5 linked regions of the Macaca fascicularis genome follow. The protein of the gene in region 3 binds, or shares a complex with, the protein of the main gene of each other region. Links are inferred from orthologs where the notes say so. Each region holds a gene or a part of one and is shown on either strand. Other genes may lie near its edges.

Region 1 (3,937 bases), on a different chromosome or scaffold from region 3:
CGGGGCGCTCCGAGGCCATCACACAAGCCCTCCCGCGCCGGCCCGGGCCCGTGTGTTCCACTCTTGACCCCTGACCTGGCTACCTCGGCACCCGGAAGGAACAGGAAGTGGGTGGGAGGGCCGAGTTCCAGTTTTCTGATTGGTGGACGAAGCCTTCTCAGAGGCGTTTGCTGACAGGAAACCGGAAGTGGAAATCGTTGCAGTCGCCTCGGCCGCCGCAATGCAGGTGAGAGCCGCGTTGGGAGTGCTAGCGGCTGGCCAGCTTCGGCTACAGGGAGCCAGAGTGGGCTGGCTAAGGAGAATGAAGAGTTGGGACTGAGAAAAGAGGGCAGAACCCACGGCTGATAAGGGAACGTGGGTTGGGGGGCGAGGTTAATTGGAGAGGGAGCGGCGCAGATGAGAGGTGGGGGTGGAGCTCGCCTGACAGAAGGCGGTCGGGCTAAATCCGGAGGGAGGAGGCAGCACTGACTTGCTTGGCGTGGGAAAGGATTAGGTTGTAATACGGGGAGGCCGAGATGCAGTCCAAGGAAGACGGCTCAGGAGGTGGTGGGTTGGCTCAGGCCCTGTCCTAAGCTGCTGGATGGAGGCTGTTGGATGCCGATATAGCAGGGGATCTAATTGGAAAGAAGCCCAAGCAGTGAGGGAATTGTGGGCCGCGGTGTCCGAAAGCTAAGCAGCTTGTAATGTGAGGCCATGGTGGAACCCAGGATCAAGTTCCTGTCAGGCACCTTAGCAGGTTTGCAAGACAGTTTTGCATCACTCTTCCCAGCCTGTGCCCTATAGTTGTTAAGGGTGAAGAAATGGAATAAAACAGGATACCACCGATGGGAAGGAAATGCTTTGCAGACCCCCGGCATTTTAATTTGTTTGTTCAGTGCTTAGAAGCATGTGCGGTTTTGGTTTTCATTTGTCACTTAGTTTCCTGCAGCTGGTAGTCTCAAGAAATGTTATTGGGTTGACCGAGCTTGTGAAAGAGGCACGGGAATATTGACACAGAGATAGATGGGTGCATATTAATTCAGCGAGGAGAAGGTTGAAACATGAAATGATGAGAGCAGATGGAAAGCTGGAGTGGTTGGTGGGGGGAGGGAAAGAGGAGAGCAGGGCTGGTATTCAGAGAAGTCTTCATGAGTAGGCAGATTTCCCAGAGACTGACAAGAGAGCCAGGCTCACAAATGCTAGGATGGAGGAAGCTGGAGTGCATGTGCTACAGAGGTGCACATGAGATAATGATCTGGCATTAGGTTTGTCGAAAATGTCTCAATGAGGGAGTGTAGGGTGTACCTAATACAGAGAAAAACCAGGCATAGATTAGGAGCGGATGGGAAAAAGGAATCAGTTGGTGGAAGTACTTGGGTCAGGCAAACGGTTGAAAGGTCTCAGGGTTGATGCTGTCTATAACCCAAATACCACAGATAGGAAACAACCTGGTTATCCTATGCCAATGAGATCCTGTTACCTGACTGGTGTTTGCACACCATCTCCTTGGCTTTTCAGCCCTCCTTTCTATGTGTCATACTCGTTTATCTGGGTAACCAACCTGTTCCTATTGGTGCAGAGAGAGGAGAAGCAGCTTGAGGCATCATTAGATGCACTGCTGAGTCAAGTGGCTGATCTGAAGAACTCACTGGGAAGTTTCATTTGCAAGTTGGAGAACGAGTATGGCCGGCTGACCTGGTAAGGGTTGCCAGGGCAAGCTAGGGAGGGCTTATGGGTGGGGGGGCCTAGCCTTCTGATGAATAGGACACTTCTAATGATGTAACCATTTATCAGTTTACAAACATCTTTTGATTTGGAAAGAGCTGGGTTTCGTAACATTTAGCAAGTGGCTTCCATGGCAAGGAAGTAGAGAAATGCTCGGTTTCCTAACCCAAGTTCATTATAGCTTTCAATTCTTACCCTTTGACTTCTCTGGTGAGGAGGTCCTCCTATTACAGCTCTATTTGTGCTGGATCTCTTGCCACAAATATGGCTGAGTCCTTTAGATCCAACCTACTCTGAAGTGTGGATCCTATTTCCAGGCTGGAAAGAAGGATTTTACCGGGTTTCTGAAGTTTTAGTTATAACAGTATAGTCCTATTTTGCCACTGTTCCTCACCTCATTCAAACAATGAACTGGATTTTTTCTACATCTGTTTCATAAACTGAAACTATGTCCCTCTTTCATAACCCTGTCATCCTTGTTAGTTTCTTCCCACTTAGGCTAGTCATAGGGCTATGAGACTTTTGGGGATAAATCCGAGTGTTCCTAGCCTGAAGGAACTAGGACTATTTTACTAAGAACCACCCAAGGAAGGGGTGGAACATTCTGACACCTGCTTACTGCCAACAGGCCATCTGTCCTGGACAGCTTTGCCTTGCTTTCTGGACAGTTGAACACTCTGAACAAGGTCTTGAAGCATGAAAAAACACCGCTGTTCCGTAACCAGGTCATCATCCCTCTGGTGTTGTCTCCAGACCGAGATGAAGATCTCATGGTAAGAGCAGAAAAAGAATACAACTTGGGAAATTAAGGAGTTTTTTAGGCTTCTTTACTATTTAGGGAAATTAAGTTCTTAGCTGAGAACTTAGAAATAATTTTGGAGGCCTTGCTTTTTGTTCTTCTGAAGGTGGGAGAGCCACTCCCAAATAGTGTTGTAATAACCTGAGGGGTATGTCACCAAGGCTGGTACCTTCCTTCTCCAACATCTGTCTCAAGCCACAAAGTCTGCCCTTTGGTGACTTTGTCTGTTTCAGTCTTTGAAACGTGGCAGACAGTGATAGTTTAATTTGCCTCTAGGTCTGGTAGAGATAGGGATGTGAGAAGACACAAAAAATGAAGGCTGGAGTAAAGGAGATTGTGTCCTAGGAAACTAGATATTATGTCTTAGGTTGTATTTTCCTTGAAAATGCACTGTTTGCCTGTGGATGGGACTGTATATCAGGCCAGATAGAATCTTCTTGGAGTGCATAGTAGGATCAATAAAATCTGTGTGTTGCAGCGGCAGACTGAAGGACGGGTGCCCGTTTTCAGCCATGAGGTAGTCCCTGACCATCTGAGAACCAAGCCTGACCCTGAGGTGGAAGAACAGGAGAAGCAACTGACGACAGATGCTGCCCGCATTGGTGCAGATGCAGCCCAGGTTGGACTGAGTCACTGCCTTGCTGCCCCATCCCCATCCCATCATGAGAAGCTAGGCATTACCATTCCTGTCTAGTAGGGATGCATAGTTGGTTGCACCTAAGCTGCTTCTGGCAGAACCCAAGGAATAAATTTGTCCATATCGTTTCCTAGTTACCCTAATCTCTGCACAAATTTGTGTGTTACAGAAGCAGATCCAGAGCTTGAATAAAATGTGTTCAAACCTTCTGGAGAAAATCAGCAAAGAGGAGCGAGAATCAGAGAGTGGAGGTATGGTGGACTGGTGGCAAAACAGAGAAGGAGAGGTATATAAGATCACTGGAATGGGAATGGTTGTTTCGAGAGTAGTGAAGTTAGGACACAAGAGTGAACTGCTTTAGGGTTTGCATCCATTCTGTTAGCCTTTTGTATTTAAGGCCAACCCTGAAGCAGTGGAGGAAATGGGCAAAGTAAGAAGAGAGAATTCTGAGATAGGCTTGGGGGTCCTCTGGCTCTTTTTATGGGCTGTGAGGGAGTCTAGATGCTGCTGAATTCAGAACTCTAAACCCTGGCACTCATACTGGTCTTCCAGCTGCCACGTTCAGTCCTGCATCAGAAACATACTTCAGGATCCCCACTTACTTTTTCTTCAGGTCTCCGGCCAAACAAGCAGACCTTTAACCCTACAGACACTAATGCCTTGGTGGCAGCTGTTGCCTTTGGGAAAGGACTGTCTAACTGGAGACCTTCAGGCAGCAGTGGTCCTGGCCAGCCAGGCCAGCCAGGAGCTGGGACGATCCTTGCAGGAACCTCAGGATTACAGCAGGTGCAGATGGC
Region 2 (3,942 bases), about 54 Mb from region 3:
ATGTTGGCAAGTATTAAAAAAAAAAACAAAACTAAAATCTTCTGCAGACTGAATAAAATGCCCAAAAGGGGCTAATCTGCAATCTCTCTTGAATGTAAGTATCTGGAAGGTTGTTGTCCTCAAGAGGGTATAGAATGGTTCTAGCTCAATCCAGGGACAACCAAGTTATCAAAATTAATGTCACCAGTAGTGGGACAAATAGACTTCATGTGACTGCAGATAGATGAAGGATAACACTACAATCAGACTAGAGCTACAAGGAGAGACATTATATCACAATATAAGGAATAACTTTCTACCATCTGGCTAACAGTCAAATCAGCTGTCCCTGACAGAGTAACATGGGCTCAGTGAAAACCTCCAGAGGGTAGGTGACCATCTCTCGGCAACGCTGTGGGTAAGATTAAACGTGTTGGTGGCTGAGGCTTCCAACACTGAGTCTGTAAATCTACATACATACAACATTTGTTGAAATCTATTTTTCTTAAAAGTCTTTTCTTTGGATTATTAAATGGATAAAAAGCCAGAAAAGGTGCAAAGGGTCCTGCAGGCAATATAAGATGTATATGCTTCGTGAGTCAATTGTTATTGGACACAGAAAAGTGACTTCGAAACAAGTTTGAAACATTTTCCTCTCAAACTTTTTTTTTTTTAAGGTTCACTATTGCTTTCTACCTGCTTAACACAAAGCAGGGATGAGTTCAAGGTGTTGTTTTTTTTTTTTTTTTTTAATCATTAAAAGGGAATAGGTTTGTGGTTATATGCTTCTTGCAATTCAGTAAGCCTTAACACGAAAGTGTCGCTGAATGACCTGAATGGTAAATATATATATATATATATATAAATGAGTTAATGCATATGAAGCATTTAGCACTGTTTCTGGCACATAAGAGGCCTTAAATAAAAGATAGCAACTCTAAGACTCAGGTTAAGATCACCTCCTCCAAATAACCCCAGAAACACCTTCCTTACAGATACCCTCTTTTAATTTCAGCCCATGGCTTATGTCACTTCATTTACAGACTGTGAGTTCTTCGGGACCAGAAACCTGGTGAGATGGGGAGGGTGGTGAAAGACAAGGTCAGACAAGGCAGGGCCAGATCATATAGGGCTTTAGCCCAAGAAAAGAGACTGGATTTTATTCTGCATGGTATGGAAAGTCATGGAAAGGTTCTAAGCAAGAAAGTAAAGTGTTCTGATTTATATTTTTAAATGACTAAGTTGGTTTCTGTGTAGAAAGCTGTTTTGCTTGGTTTGGTTTGGGGTGGAGGGGGGGCAGGAAGGTAAAAGTGGAAGCAGAGATAACCAGGGAGTAGATTACTGCAGTGATACAAGTTAGAGATGAGACTGTCTTGTGTTAAGATGGTGACAACGAAAAGAAGTGGAGAGATTCCAAATACATTTTTGCCAATGTGAAACGAAGAAATCTATCATATCATAAAGTATACACATGCTTAGGATTATAAAAATTAAACTTACTTTAGATACTTGGCATATTCTGGGTCTTTCCAGTAAAGCAAGTATTTAAGATAATTAACAAAAGCTTTGTCTTTGAAGTAACCTCTTTGGGCAAGAACTGAAAAGCATTAAAAAAAAAAATGTCTGTAGGTCAAACCAATCTTTAAACTATGCTTTGTTACCCCTAATGTAAAGGATCTATTTACATAAAACCCCCACCACCAACACACATTGAATTCAAAACACAAATCCCAGTGCGCAATTATATCTATATACCAGCATAAGTGTAATATCATTCAATTGAGAATGTGTAAAAGTAGATACTATTTTGAATTGCAACTCTTCTGTCAGAAATCATTAGTAGCTACTCAATTTAATGAGGTGCTTAACAACTTACAATTAAGGTAATTTGGGTTGGCTAAACATTGCACAAATTCCAACTCCAACTGAAACCGAAGTCGATTTCCAGCATCATCTAGGAGACAAGACAGCAAAAATCATGGAAAGTAAGGGTCACTGTATATAATACTGATTTGCAGTAAGGAAACAGCAATAAAGAAACCTGACTAATGCCGAGATGGTCTTCCTAAACTGGGAGTTGGGGGAGATAAACCTTTCTTCGAAATCTAAGAAAAGCGGAGCCCTGATTAAAAGGAGTTAGAAGTTTCTCTAAAATTAAAGAGAAATCATCAAAGAAAGCAGCAACACAAACGGAGAATTCCTAAGATCACTAAGGTAGGCTGTAACAACTATGGCTTCCCCTATGTTAATAATGCGTTATAACAATTGTTAACAGTGATTAAGTTTTGCAAAAGCTACGTGCTGAATCAGTTAAGAAAAAGTTAGGATGCAAGAGACTGCGTAGAGCCTAAAAGATCATGGAGCGTATGCATATAAGAAGCACCAGTAGCAGAATGACACATAAAGTCCGGCGACGATATTTCAAACTTAGGCAAGCTCATGTGAGAAGCAGAAAACCAATCAAGGAGGAGACGGTTTAACACACAAGTCCTCTCCCTTAGTCTCACCCACGCCGGGGAGCTGGTAGGGTGGTGTCTGAATAGCAAAGATGTGCGAACAAACCAAATTAGGAAAACTGCAAAGAGTACCTTAGTCTTTCTAGAAGCTACAAGAGCCTTCTCACCTCCTTGTCCAAATATTAACCCTGCCGAGATTAAGGCCTGGAAGGAGGCCACGGGGAAGCCGTCTGGACCGAGGGGAGTTCCATCTGCGAAGACTCCAAGATCAGAGAGCTACTCACCTGTCTCCATAGCGACGGCAGCGGCCATAACAAACGAAGACACCAAAACGCCACCAGCCTGACCGAGCAAAAGCCCAGAGTGGCGGGGGAAGTTCCGGAAACCACGGCTCTCTCTTCCGGTCCCGGGGCACTGTGGGATATGGGGCCGGGCGGCTCCGCCCATCCCGCCAGCCCTGGGATGGCTCCACCCGCGCTGGCTTCAAAATAGCGAGCGGGCGGGGCCCGGGCCGTGGGAGCGCCTGAGGGGCAGGAGCCCAGTGTTTTTAGCCTTGGAAGGATCATGGTGTTTCCACGTCATCGTGTTGTGGCGCTCCCGGCTATGGCAGTACCGTAGTTTTCCTCTCTTCTGCCTGCGGTGACCGTTGGGCTGGGGGGTGCCCCGAGGCCTCCTTGGCCCCCTCACGCCGGCAGAATGGCCTCAGCCCGAGGGGCCAAGCAGTCTTCTCCCCGGGTGGGGACCACCCGCTACACAGAGACGTCCACAGTCCGCGTGGAGACCTCGTCCCACCGCGTGGAGACGTCGTCCCGGCGGGTGGAGACCTCCCAGCGCCGCAGCGAGGGGCCCTCCCTCTCCCCCTTGGGGAAGCGGCTCCCTGGCATCCTCGAGGCGTCCTCCCGGCACGTGGAATCCTCCTCGCAGCGCACGGAAACGACCTCCCGCCACATCAGGGCCTCGTCCCTGAGGGTGGAGACGGCTCTGCACTGCGCGGAGAGCCCAGCCCCGCGGGCCAAGCCGGCCGCCCGCCAGAACGAAAAACCGGCCCGATGAGATGCTGCTTCCCAAAGGCCACCAAGGGGCCAGGGCCCTCAGCCAGGACAGAAAGGCCTCCAGTTGCCAGCCAGCTGCCAGGTGGACCAATCATTTTCGGTTTCATGGAAACAAACCATAAATCAATGGAAGAAACAGCCAAGCCGCAGTTTCTGAACACAGCCAACGTTTATTGACCATCCTGCGTCTTGGACCAGCCTACTTTTGACCCAGTGAACTATTTTCACTTGAAGCCAGCACAAAAGATTTTCATGCCCAGGATGCTGTCTAAATTGGCTTGATGGACAAAGAGGCTGTTTGAGCCTCTGAGCCAGGTGAGTTTGGGATCCACAGCCCTCAGAAGACCTTCACCCCTTAGGAACAGAGACCAAACTGAAATCATGACCTGTGGAATGATTCCATGCCTGCTAGAAACTTGAGGGGCAAGGAACAGACTCATAAATTATTAATGGCC
Region 3 (3,500 bases):
TTGCTGTGGACATCACCAGTTGGTCAAGGAAGGGAAGAGGAATGAAGAGAAATTCTTGACACATTCCCTCGTTCAAGCCCAGAAGGAAATGAGCAGAGGAGGTGGGAAGCATGTAAGAATATCCAGATTGGGGTGAAATTCTTTTTTTTTTTTTTTTTTTTTTGAGACGGAGTCTCGCTCTGTCGCCCCGGCTGAAGTGCAGTGGTGCGATCTCAGCTGAAGTTTATGGACGCATAGTCAATGTCGCAATCATTGATTTATCCTGAGTCTTTTTTTTTTTTCGAGACAGGTCTCACTCTGTCGCCTAGGCTGGAGTACAGTGGTGCAATCTCGGCTCACTGCAGCCTCTGCCCTCCGAGCAGCTGGGCACTCACCACCACGCCAGGCTACTTTTTTGTATTTTTAGTAGAGACGGGATTTCACCATGTTGGCCAGTCTGGTCTCAAACTCCTGACCTCAGGTGACCCGCCCACCTTGGCCTCCCAAAGTCCTGGGATGACAGGTGAGCCACTGCGCCTGGCTATTTATCATTAGTCTTTTGTTTTTTGAGACAGAGTCTCGCTCTGTCACCCAGGCTAGAATGCAGTGGCATAATCTCAGCTCACTACAACCTCCGCCTTCTGGGTTCAAGCGATTCTCCTGCCTCAGCCTCCTGAGTAGCTGGAATTACTACTACTGTGTATACCACCACGCCCAGCTAATTTTTGTATTTTTAGTAGAGATGGGGTTTCACTATGTTGACCAGGCTGGTCTCGAACTCCTGACCTCATGATCCGCCCACCTCGGCCTCACAAAGTGCTGGGATTACAGGTGTGAAGCATTGCACCCAGCCTATCATTAGTCTTAAATGTTCTTAAAGCACATTTAAGATTAAAGGAAGATTCAGGATTTTTACTTATTTTTTTTTTTTGAGACAAGGTCCCACTCTATCACTCAGACTGGGGTGCAGTGGCATGATTTCGCCTCATCGCAACCTCTGCCTCCTGGGTTCAAGCAATTCTCATGCTTCAGCCTCCAGAGTAGCTGAGATTACAGGCACACACCACTATGCCCGGCTGATTTTTGTATTTTTAGTAGACATGGGGTTTTGCCATGTTGGGCAGGCTGGTCTTGAACTCCTGGCCTCCAAGTAATCCATCTGCCTCCGGCCTAGGATTTTTACTTTTATCAGAAAGATGGGTATGAGTTAAAGAGCAATGACTAAGAACGTAAAACTCTGGTCTGAAGACACCCATGCTTTTTTTTTTTTTTTTTTTTGAGACAGAGTTTTGCTCTTGTTGCCCAGGCTGGAGTGCAATGGCGTAATCTTGCCTCATCGCAACCTCCGTCTCCCGGGTTCAAGTGATTCTCCTGCCTCAGCCTCCCAGGTAGCTGGGATTACAGGCATGTGCCACCACAGCTAATTTTTTATTTTTAGCGGAGATGGGGTTTCTCTACGTTGGTCAGGCTGGTCTTGAACTCCCGACCTCAGGTGATCCACCCACCTCAGCCTCCCAAAGTGCTGGGATGACAGGCCTGAGTCACCGCACCCGGCTGGTACCCCCAGGCACAGTCCCAGTCACGTGCAACTCAAACTTTAGACAGGAGGTTGAAAGGCACCCAGCAGCCCCACCGTAAAGAGAGAGAGGTCAAGGGGCTCTTGGGGTAGCCCAGGCGCGCTCACACTTACCGCTTAGCCATAAGGCTGTTGACACTGGCCTCAGACAGAAGCCCCTGCTTGCCACATTCTTGGAGCAGGAAGTTTGTACAGTCACAGCTGTGAAAGAGAAAGATGTGGAGGGAACTGGGCACCTGGCTGGGAGGGCGAGGGGTGGGAGTGGCCAGTCCCTGAGCAGCATCCTCCCTCTTTCAGGTGAGGAAAATCTGGAGGGCCTGAGGGACAGTAGAGGGGCTCTGGGGACTTGGCAACTGTGGGCTGCTGCTTCCTGCCCCTGCCAAGGGGAGTGAACAAGGAGACAGAGTCCCCTGAGGCTTCTCTGGCACAGAGATCAGGGGAAGAGCCCAGAACCCCTTCCAGTAGGGTAGGGGTGACCAGGGGAGCTCATACTTGCAGCGCTGGTCAGCTTTGTCCAACAAGGGTGTGAGTTTCAGCAGGAACTCAAAAGCACAGTTGACATCCTCAGTGAAGTCCTAGAAAGAGGCAGAAGTGTCCACCTGGTTTCCAGGGCCACCAGGCCCTGATCATCTCAGGCAACCTTGTCTGCTGGAGACATCAGCCTGAGCTGCCTGGCTGCCTTCTGCCTGGAGCCTGGGTGTATGCTGTGGGTGCACACACACGCTGAAGCACACACACACACTGAAGCACACACATGCTGAAGCACACACATGGCAAAGCACACACACACTGAAGCACACACACGCTGAAGCACACACACAGTGAAGCACACACACTGAAGCACACACACAGTGAAGCACGCACACGGCGAAGCACACACACACTGAAGCACACACACGCTGAAGCACACACACGCTGAAGCACGCACATGGCAAAGCACACACACACTGAAGCACACACACGCTGAAGCACACACACAGTGAAGCACACACACTGAAGCACACACACAGTGAAGCACGCACACGGTGAAGCACACACACACTGAAGCACACACACGCTGAAGCACACACACGCTGAAGCACGCACACGCTGAAGCACACACACGCTGAAGCACGCACACGCTGAAGTACACACATATGCTGAAGCACACACACATACTGAAGCACACACATACGCTGAAGCACACACGCTGAAGCACACGCACATGCTGAAGCGCACACACGGTGAAGCACACACACACTGAAGCACACACACACTGAAGCACACACATACGCTGAAGCACACACACTGAAGCACACGCACATGCTGAAGCGCACACACAGCGAAGTGCACATACACTGATGCACACACACACTGAAGCACACACACGCTGAAGCACACACACGCTGAAGCAGACACACGCTGAAGCACACACACGCTGAAGCACACGCACGCTGAAACACACACACTGAAGCACACACACGCTGAAGCACGCACACGGCGAAGCACGCACACGCTGAAGCACACACACTGAAGCACACACACGGCGAAGCACACACACGGTGAAGCACACACACGCTGAAGCACACACACGCTGAAGCACACACACGGTGAAGCACACACACTGAAGCACACACACGGCGAAGCACACACACGGCAAAGCACACACACTGAAGCACACACATGCTGAAGCACACACACGCTGAAGCACACACACGGCGAAGCACACACGGCGAAGCACACACACTGAAGCACACACACGCTGAAGCACACACACACTGAAGCACACACACACTGAAGCACACACGGCGAAGCACACACACTGAAGCACACACACGCTGAAGCACACACACGGTGAAGCACACACACTGAAGCACACACACGGCGAAGCACACACACTGAAGCACACACATGCTGAAGCACACACACGCTGAAGCACACACACGGCGAAGCACACACGGCGAAG
Region 4 (4,210 bases), on a different chromosome or scaffold from region 3:
TTCTCTACTCCTCCATAACCAAACTACACATGTTGTCTCCCAATCTCGTATCACAATCACTTTTGCTTTATGTTACAGATTGATTTCCAATAGCAAACACTTACTTGTATCTCTCATAAACACTGACAAAATTAACACTGCTAAATACTAAACACATGGTATTATCCAAAGTTCCTGAATGAAATGATTCAGTTCCATATCCTTTTTGTCACAGTAAACTATGCAATTTTATATGGACACATTAACTTTTTTTTTCTTTTTTTTGAGACGGAGTCTTGCTCTGATGCCCAGGCTGGAGTGCAGTGGTGCGATCTCAGCTCACTGCAACCTCCGCCTCCTGGGCTCAAGCAATTCTTCTGCCTCAGCCTCCCAAGTAGCTGGGATTACAGGCGCACACCACCATGCCCGGCTAATTTTTGTATTTTTAGTAGAGACAGGATTTCGCCATGTTGGCCAAGTTGGTCTCTTAATTCCCCACCTCAGGTGATCCGCCCACCCTGGCCTCCCAAAGTGCTGGGATTACAGGTGTGAGCCACCGCGCCCGGCCTGTATGGACACATTAACTTCCCTACAACTATCACAGAAATTTCAAACCCCAGGTTCAAACCCAGTATCTTCTATGGCCATAATAACCTCTACTTACTCTACCTTAAGCCTAGATATACCATCCAATGAGAAGATTCTGAAGTGCTCCTTTACACTGGTATTATCAAAGTTTCAAGATATAACACCCTCTAACATCAGGTGGGGCAAGTATTCTATTAGAAGCAATATTATACTTAGAATTCGTGAGGTACTAAGGGCAGGCATGGTGCAGCCCTGAGTTTCCACCATGCCACAGTAGTGCATAGGATGATGCAGCCTCGACCTCCCAGGCTCAAGCCATCCTCCCACCTCAACCTCCCAAGCAGCTGGGAGTACGAGGCAAATGTCACCACGCCCAGCTAATTTTTGTATATTTTGTAGAGACAGAGTTTTGCCATGTTACTCCGGGTGGTTTTGAACTCCTGAGGTCAAGCAATCCTCCTGCCTTGGCCTCCCAAAGTGCTGGGACTACAGGTGTGAGCCACCACTCCCAGCCAACATTTTAAAACTTATAACATAAATTCAGATTACAGAAAAAGTGCATGCATATACAAAGAACACTTCATATTCTTCACTCAGATTCTCCAAATGTTAACATTTTCCTTCATTTGCTTTATTGGTTTCTCATTCCTTCACCCCTGAATACTTCAATGTGTTTTCCCAGGACAAGAATGTTTTCTTCTACCCACAGCACAATTACCAAAATCAAGGAATTAACATTGATCTGGTACTTCAAAACACAATTTTTGACACCTTACGTTTCATTCCACTCAAACCTTTTTAGGTGACGAGTGCTGCTCTGTACTTTCCTACACGATGTGCATTCCTGTACTTAGGTTGTCATTTTCCTAAGGCAACTACGTGACAGATACTGTTGTTTTATGGCCTCTCTAACATAATCTTCATAACAATTCTATGAATTAAGGTTGTTTGTTTTGTTTTTTGAGACAAGGTCTCAATCTGTCTCCCACGCTGGAGGGCAGTGGTATGATCAGGGCTCACCGCAACCTCTGCCTCCCGGGTTCAAGGGATTCACCTGCATGACCCTCCTGAGTAGCTAGGGACTACAAGTGTGTGCCACCACGCCCAGCTAATTTTTTATTTCTCGGTAAAGACAGGTTTTCACCATGTTGGCCAGGCTGGTCTGGAACTCCCGACCTCAAGTGATCCGCCCACCTCGGCCTCCCAAAGTGCTGGGATTATAGGCGTGAGCCACCACAGGGTCCCATGAATTAAGTTCTATTATCAATTTCATTTTAGAGGTGAAGATCCCAAGTCTCAATGAGGGGAAGTGTTGCCCCAGATCAAAAAGTTAATAAATGGTACAACAGGAATTCTTATCCCAGGTCCCTTTAGCTCCAAAGGGCAAGCTCTCTTATATCTCTAAGCCGTGAAGCATCTAATTGTACAATTAGAACTTGCATATTACAAAAATTATATTTTTCTCTACTGTCTCTCTAGATGGAACTTTTCAAAGGCGATGGAAGTCTTATTTTAATAAAACCAGAGCAAAGCATCATAACTGGTTCTCAGACTCAAGATCCAACATCTAGTGTTTGTTCTGGGGGAGAAGGCGCCTCACCAGAAGACGACAGATATTCCAGGGTCCCAGCCCCAGAGATTTGATTCATTCTGTCCACTGTGAATGGGCCCTGGTATGTCGCTTTAAAAACCTCTCCAGATGGACCTGACGATTAGGCTTGGTTGGGATCTACTGCCCTCGCCTGCCCCCGTATCTCAGCTGTTTCACAACTGCTCCCAGAAGAAGGAAGGGCAGGGAGGGCTACTCTCATGTTACAAAGGGCCAGAAAGGGCAAATAACTCGCCCAAGGCCACACAGCCTAGAAAAACAGCGGCGAGGGGACTAGACACCACGTCTCCCAACCTCCACTCCGGCTCGGCGTCCCCACACGGAGGAAGCCCTGGGACTGCAGCGCTAAGAGCCCCCTCCTCCAGGCTGTCCATCCCGAGACCTCCACGAGCGGCGGGGAGGCCGCGCTCTCGGAGAGACTCGGGACAGAAAGACGAGAGAGCGTCTTCGGAGGCCGAACTCCTCCATGCCTCCCCAGTTCCCAGCCCAGCACAGAGGAAACCGCGGGGTCCGGAAGAAAAAAACGCACACACGCAGGGGCCCCAAGCCGTTGCCGCCCACTCACCTCAACTCTGGCTTTACACTGGTAGCCGCCTTCCCCCTCTGCAGCCGAAACCAATTTCCGGTCTCCTCCTGGAAGAAGCCACCGACTCTGTCTTTGATTGGCTGTAGGAGCTGTCCTTTAACGAGATTCTAGATCCGCCTCAGACCGATCGCTCGCTATTGCGCCTGCGTATATTCGACTCCTGCCATCGCCACCCCTTTTACTGACTTTTAAAAGTAGTAAGTGAGGGTTGTTTCTTCGTTTCTTTAAGGCATAAAATTAAACAAGACATCTTATTGCTTTATTTTTTATAGACCCCTTATTGACTAGAAAAAATCTTATATTTTAATATGTAACATGCTCTTGTAAGACTTCCATGAATTTAGACATTTATGACGCGAAAATAACCTCCCAAAGAAAACCTAGCAAAGGTTGTTCGTGTGTTCCACCCGCTGCCCGCATTACAACTCTTCTGCTGACAGTCGCAGCTGGTAGTTCCATTCCTTTTGTCTTTTCTTTTTTAATTTAACCCATACAATGAAGACATCTTACATAAAAATTCGAAAATACAGATATGCAGGGTTTTTTGTTGGTTTATTTTGTTTTATTTTTTTTTTTTTTTTCTTTGAGACGGAGTGTCTTTCGCCCAGGCTGGAGTGCAGTGGCGCGATTTCGGCTCGCTGCAACCTCTGTCTCCGGGGTTCAAGCGATTCGCGTGCCTCAGCCTCCCAAGTAGCTGGGATTACAGGCATGTGCCACCACACCCGACTAATTTTTTTTTTTTTCCTTTTTTTGTATTTTTAGTAGAGACAGGGTTTCACCATGTTGGTGAGGCTGGTCTCGAGCTCCTGACCTACAGTGATCCGCCCGCCTTGGCCACCCAAAGTGCTGGAATTACGGGCGTGAACCACGTAGCCCGGCCTCCCCCATTTTAATTCCCCCGCACATATAAATTTATTTCCTGAAGAAATTCATCCTCACTGCTGACCCCAATATGTCCTGCACCCGTGACTTCCAATGCTTGTTCCCAGTCCTCGTTTTACTCCCTCTGTCAGCAGCATTTGGCACATTTGATTATTTGGATTGCCCCAGGACTCAGTTCTCCAACCACTTCTCAGTCAGATATCACCCAGATACATGCAGGCCCTGGAACACCGTTTCCTCTGCACTTCAGACCCTCATATCCAGTGGTGACAGACATCTTTACCCCGTTGCACTTTACTCAATTGCAAATGTTCAATCTAAGGAATCACCTTTTTCTCCTTTCTCCCATACCCCACCGAAACTACCATACCAGCCTTTTGCATTAGCTCTATTTAAAAATAAGTAAATAAAGTTCCAAATATGACTGACCACCGTCCCTACTGGTATGGTCCTATGCCATGCTGCCATTATCTCTCATCTGGATTTCTTTGATTTTTGTCCTGCCTTAGTCTATTTACCACACCTTCTTAAAATATAAAACCAATCTTAACGCTCTTCTATTCAAA
Region 5 (4,265 bases), on a different chromosome or scaffold from region 3:
GAATCGCCTGAACCTGGGAGGCGGAGGTTTCAGTGAGCCGAGATTGCGCCATTGCACTCCAGCCTGCGCAACAAGAGCAAAACTCTGTCTCAGGAGAAAAAAAAAAAAAAAAAAAAGAGAGAGAAAGGCAGCATCTTGGAGACCAAACATGTCCAAAACAACTCGATTTCCACCTCTTCAAACTTGTTCCTTCCTCATCTTCCAAGTCTCATACCCATACACCCAATTATTCAAGCTGAAAACTTAAAAAGGCATCAATTCTTCTATCTCCTTCACTTCTATATACAATATGTATTTTTAACTGAGACAGCTTCTTCCTCTATCATCTAAGCTGGAGCACAGTGGCACAATCACAGCTCACTGCAGCCTCAACTTCCTGGGCTCAAGTGATTCTACCACCTCAGCTTCCTAAGTAGCTGAGACTACAGGTGTACGCTGCTATCCCTAGCTAATTTACTTTTATTTTTTGTAGAGATGGGGTCTCATTATATTGCCCAGGCTGGTCTCAAACTTTTGGGCTCAAGCAGTCCTCCCACCTCAGCCTCCCAAAGTGCTGGGATTACTGGCGTTAGCCACAGCACCTGGCCCTATATTCAGCTTTTCAACCCTGTCAGCTCTACGTCTAACACCCTGTATCCATTTACTTCTCTAAATAAGTACATTTGACCAAGTTCCTATGTTAAAATGGCTTTCCTTGGCTGGGCACAGTGGCTCAGGCCTATAATCCTAGCACTTTGGGTGGCCAAGGTGGGAGGACTGTCATTGGCCAGGAGTTCAAGACCAGCTTGGGCAACACAGTAAGACCCAGTCTTTACAAAAAATTTTTAAGTTAGCCAACTGTGGTGGCACATGCCTGCAGTCCTAGCTACTTGGGAGGCTGAGGTGGGAGGACAGCATGCGCCTAGGAATTGGAGGTTACAGTGAGCTATGACTGTACCACTGCAGTCCAGCCTGGGTGACACAGTGAGACCTTGTCTCTATAAAAAATTGTTTTAAATGGCTTCCTTTTGTATTTACAATCTAAATGCCTTTATTGCTTTATAAAAGCCTCTGCCTAACTCTCCCAGCTTCATCTCTCTCCTAACACTCTTTCCTTTTGTTCACTTCACTGGAGTCCAACTGATTTTCTGTCCCTCAGATATTCTAAGCTTTTTCTCACATCAGGGTTTCTGACCTCATTTCCTGTATCTAGAATTATCTCTCCCTCCTGTCCATAGCTGGCTGGCCCTTTGTCTATGCTTACATTTTAGTTCAAATTTTAGCTATGTGGAGAGAGCATCTCTGGCCACTCTAGCTAAAGTAGTTCTGCCCCTCAATTTTTTTTTTAAGAGACAGGGTCTCATCTGTTGCCCAGGCTGGAGTGCAGTGGCACAATCTTGGTTCACTGCAGCCTGGACCTCCTGTGTTCAAGCAATTCTCCTCCCTTAGTCTCCTGAGTAGCTGGGGCTACAGGCAAGCACTACCACGGCCGGCTAATCTTGTATGTTTTGTAGAGACTGGGTCTCGCCATGTTGCCCAGGCTGGTCTCAAACTCCTGGGCTCAAGGGATCCTCCTGCCTCAGCCTACCCAAGCGCTGGGATTACAGGCGTGAGCAATGCGCCTGGCCACCTTCAATTTTTTATAATGTTTTCTCTTCCTAGCATTAACCACTCTCTGACATTATCTTGTTTACAATGCCTCCTACACTGAAATGTACATTCCAAAAAAGGCAAGCATCTTGTCAGTCTCGTTCACAACTGTATCTCCAGCATTTAGAAAAGTGCTTGGTACATAGGTACTCAACAAAATAATTTTTTGAATGAAAAGAGTTTGGTTCGATTCTTACCCCTTCTTTGATGACACCAGGAAACGCAGAAATCTTGGAAGAGTGGCAACTTGCCCCAAACCCACAGCAAGTCTGTGGGAGACTTGTAACTAAAACTTTAGGTCCCCAAAGATATTAAATCAGGCCTCTCGAGTTCCAAACTCAAACTCTTGATTTTTTGTTTGTTTGTTTTTGTTTTGAGACGGAGTCTCATTCTATCGCCCAGGCTGGAGTGCAGTGGAGCAATCTCGGCTCAATGCAACCTCCGCCTCCCGGGTTCCGAGTAGCTGGAATTAAAGGCATACGCCACCACGCCCAAGTAATTTTTGTGTTTTTAGTACAGACAGAGTTGCATCATGTTGGCCAGGCTGGTCTCGAACTCCTGACCTGAGGTGATTCGCCCGCCTCCGTCTCCCAGAGTGTTGGGATTACAGGCGTGAGCCACTGCGCCCAGCCCTAGATAATTTTTTAGGGAGACATAAACCAGTGTCAGGAACACAGCCTGGACATGGTGCAAAAGACAGTCACGGAGATGCACCACCCCGCTCCCCGCCATTCATCCCTTTGGTTGAATTCAACTCATCCCTCTGCTTGTGAATCCTAATAGCCCTTTCGACTTAGGGCTCCACAGTCCGGGTATGCGTTGCCTAGGTTACCTCGCACCTCCGTTAGCCGGCTGAGAGCCACGCCCAACACCTCCTCTCTAAGATTTGATTGGCTGGCTTTGGCAAGGCCGAGTACTCACCTGGCAGTTCCCTCATGAGGTAAAAAGGGCCACAGCCAGCTCCTGACTTGTCCGCGCCGGGAGGGGCCGTGGCCGCGGTGGGAGGCGGAGCCGTGCCGGGTCCCCCGCCCGGAGGAGGCGGTGGCGGGGGTGGAGGCTTTCCTGGTCCGAAGCCTAGTGCGGTTGGGGGCGGTGGTGGGTCAGCCTGAGCCCCGAACAGCGCCGTGAAATTCTCCATCGTCCCCTCCGCCCCGGCGCTGTCTCGGTGTCTGGCGTTGGTAATTTTCATTGGACAATGCCTTTAAGGAATACCCACCTCTTTCTCAAGGAACCGCTTGTCATTGGATGCCTCAGGCACCGCCTACCTTGTTTCAACAACTACTTCCGTCGCTCTCTGAGAACGTTCAGGAAGTGCTATTTAACCTTATTAGAGTCTTCTGCTAGCTACGTTAGCTACAGTCCAATAAAATGACTTAAGCTGATAAAGCGACAGCTAGACCAACCAATAAGATATTAAGTTCTTTTTTGGGTTCTGACATACCACAGCGTTGACAGAACTACATCCGGGTTTAGAGGCCGTACGTTTGAGATGTAGCCCAATAGCAGTCGCTATGGTGGGGGAGGCGGGGCCGGACCTACGACGCCGGTGAGCAGTGGCCCTTGCGGCCGAAAAGATGGCGGTCTTGGCTCCTCTAATTGCTCTGGTGTATTCGGTGCCGCGACTTTCACGATGGCTTGCCCAACCTTACTACCTTCTGTCGGCCCTGCTCTCTGCTGCCTTCCTACTCGTGAGGAAACTGCCGCCACTCTGCGACGGTTTGCCCACCCAACGCGAAGACGGTAACCCGTGTGACTTTGACTGGGTGAGCGTCCCGCGTCTCAGTACCGCGACCTTGACTGTCCCTGCCCTTGCAGGTGCATCTGGGAACCCTGGGGTTTACCTTTCTGAGGACACCTGAGGTTCCGAGCCTGTAGCGGATTTAACAGACTGTAAAGTGCAGAGTCCGAAACATCGTCGAGACTAAACTTTGTGTTTAATATGGGAAAACGGAACCTGTTAGTCGTAGCCCTGTACAACGGCCCAACAGCTTCTGACTGTTGAGTCCAGGTTTCTTTCCATTTCACCATTTAGACTAAGAAACAGCCCTGTCAAAACTGTACATATACGTGTATAGCATCTTACAGTGCCGCTCATTATGTAAAGCCTCCTGAGGAGCCAGTAAGGTAGGGAAGGCAAGTAGTAGTAGTCCTGTTTCATTGGTGAAGGAATGGATCTTGGTATATTTAGGCGACTTGCCCCAGGTCATGCAACTAATGAGTGCCTGGGACTTGAAACTATTCTTGTGGCCACACTACCTGCACACACTGTCAGCCGTTTCTTAATTCAATCAACATTTCTAGAGTGTACACTCTAGGCACTCTGCTTGATCCTGAGGATGCGAAAGTGGATAAAATTTTGGGGCTACTGTAAAGGAATTGTAAAAAATAAGTTGTAAAGAAATCTTTGGGCTTTCTTTGAGAAGTGTCCCAAGCTCCTTGCTGTGCTTCCTTGGAATGGGTGGAGGGACTGCTCAGAACATGAACTTAAAGCACTTTACCCTCTGCTATATAGCATGTAAGGGCCAAGGCAAAGCTTCCCCTTAGCTCTCTGAGGGTTTGTTGAAAAATCAGCCGACAAAGGGCACGTTAATAGGAGAAAGGCACAGAAATTTTATTTTAACGTGCATAGCATGAGG

Evidence for each region. Proteins that work in one complex are often made in the same cells at the same time.
Region 1: MED24 (region 3) and MED8 share a complex: the UniProt entries of both Homo sapiens proteins name them as parts of the mediator complex. The link is inferred for Macaca fascicularis from reciprocal best matches to the Homo sapiens genes MED24 and MED8.
Region 2: MED24 (region 3) and MED31 share a complex: the UniProt entries of both Homo sapiens proteins name them as parts of the mediator complex. The link is inferred for Macaca fascicularis from reciprocal best matches to the Homo sapiens genes MED24 and MED31.
Region 4: MED24 (region 3) and MED7 share a complex: the UniProt entries of both Homo sapiens proteins name them as parts of the mediator complex. The link is inferred for Macaca fascicularis from reciprocal best matches to the Homo sapiens genes MED24 and MED7.
Region 5: MED24 (region 3) and MED19 share a complex: the UniProt entries of both Homo sapiens proteins name them as parts of the mediator complex. The link is inferred for Macaca fascicularis from reciprocal best matches to the Homo sapiens genes MED24 and MED19.

The regions. Positions count from the first base shown.
Region 1 is NC_088375.1:191,388,300-191,392,236, forward strand, and holds the start of MED8 (mediator of RNA polymerase II transcription subunit 8), read left to right. Parts: upstream 1-1,137; 5' UTR 1,138-1,321; coding exon 1,322-1,677; intron 1,678-2,332; coding exon 2,333-2,477; intron 2,478-2,981; coding exon 2,982-3,122; intron 3,123-3,309; coding exon 3,310-3,391; intron 3,392-3,753; coding exon 3,754-3,937. Other genes in the region: KICSTOR complex protein SZT2, read right to left, coding at 1-19. UniProt on the Homo sapiens protein: Component of the Mediator complex, a coactivator involved in the regulated transcription of nearly all RNA polymerase II-dependent genes.
Region 2 is NC_088390.1:6,692,436-6,696,377, forward strand, and holds the start of MED31 (mediator of RNA polymerase II transcription subunit 31), read right to left. Parts: upstream 2,801-3,942; 5' UTR 2,748-2,800; coding exon 2,720-2,747; intron 1,934-2,719; coding exon 1,856-1,933; intron 1,577-1,855; coding exon 1,480-1,576; intron 1-1,479. Other genes in the region: C16H17orf100 (uncharacterized protein C17orf100 homolog), read left to right, coding at 3,132-3,488. UniProt on the Homo sapiens protein: Component of the Mediator complex, a coactivator involved in the regulated transcription of nearly all RNA polymerase II-dependent genes.
Region 3 is NC_088390.1:61,093,043-61,096,542, forward strand, and holds part of MED24 (mediator of RNA polymerase II transcription subunit 24), read right to left. Parts: intron 2,131-3,500; coding exon 2,048-2,130; intron 1,757-2,047; coding exon 1,670-1,756; intron 4-1,669; coding exon 1-3. UniProt on the Homo sapiens protein: Component of the Mediator complex, a coactivator involved in the regulated transcription of nearly all RNA polymerase II-dependent genes.
Region 4 is NC_088380.1:163,931,908-163,936,117, forward strand, and holds the start of MED7 (mediator of RNA polymerase II transcription subunit 7), read right to left. Parts: upstream 2,801-4,210; 5' UTR 2,742-2,800; exon of another isoform or gene 2,346-2,741; intron 1-2,345. UniProt on the Homo sapiens protein: Component of the Mediator complex, a coactivator involved in the regulated transcription of nearly all RNA polymerase II-dependent genes.
Region 5 is NC_088388.1:15,892,750-15,897,014, reverse strand, and holds the start of MED19 (mediator of RNA polymerase II transcription subunit 19), read right to left. Parts: upstream 2,801-4,265; 5' UTR 2,768-2,800; coding exon 2,551-2,767; intron 1-2,550. Other genes in the region: TMX2 (thioredoxin-related transmembrane protein 2), read left to right, coding at 3,204-3,392. UniProt on the Homo sapiens protein: Component of the Mediator complex, a coactivator involved in the regulated transcription of nearly all RNA polymerase II-dependent genes.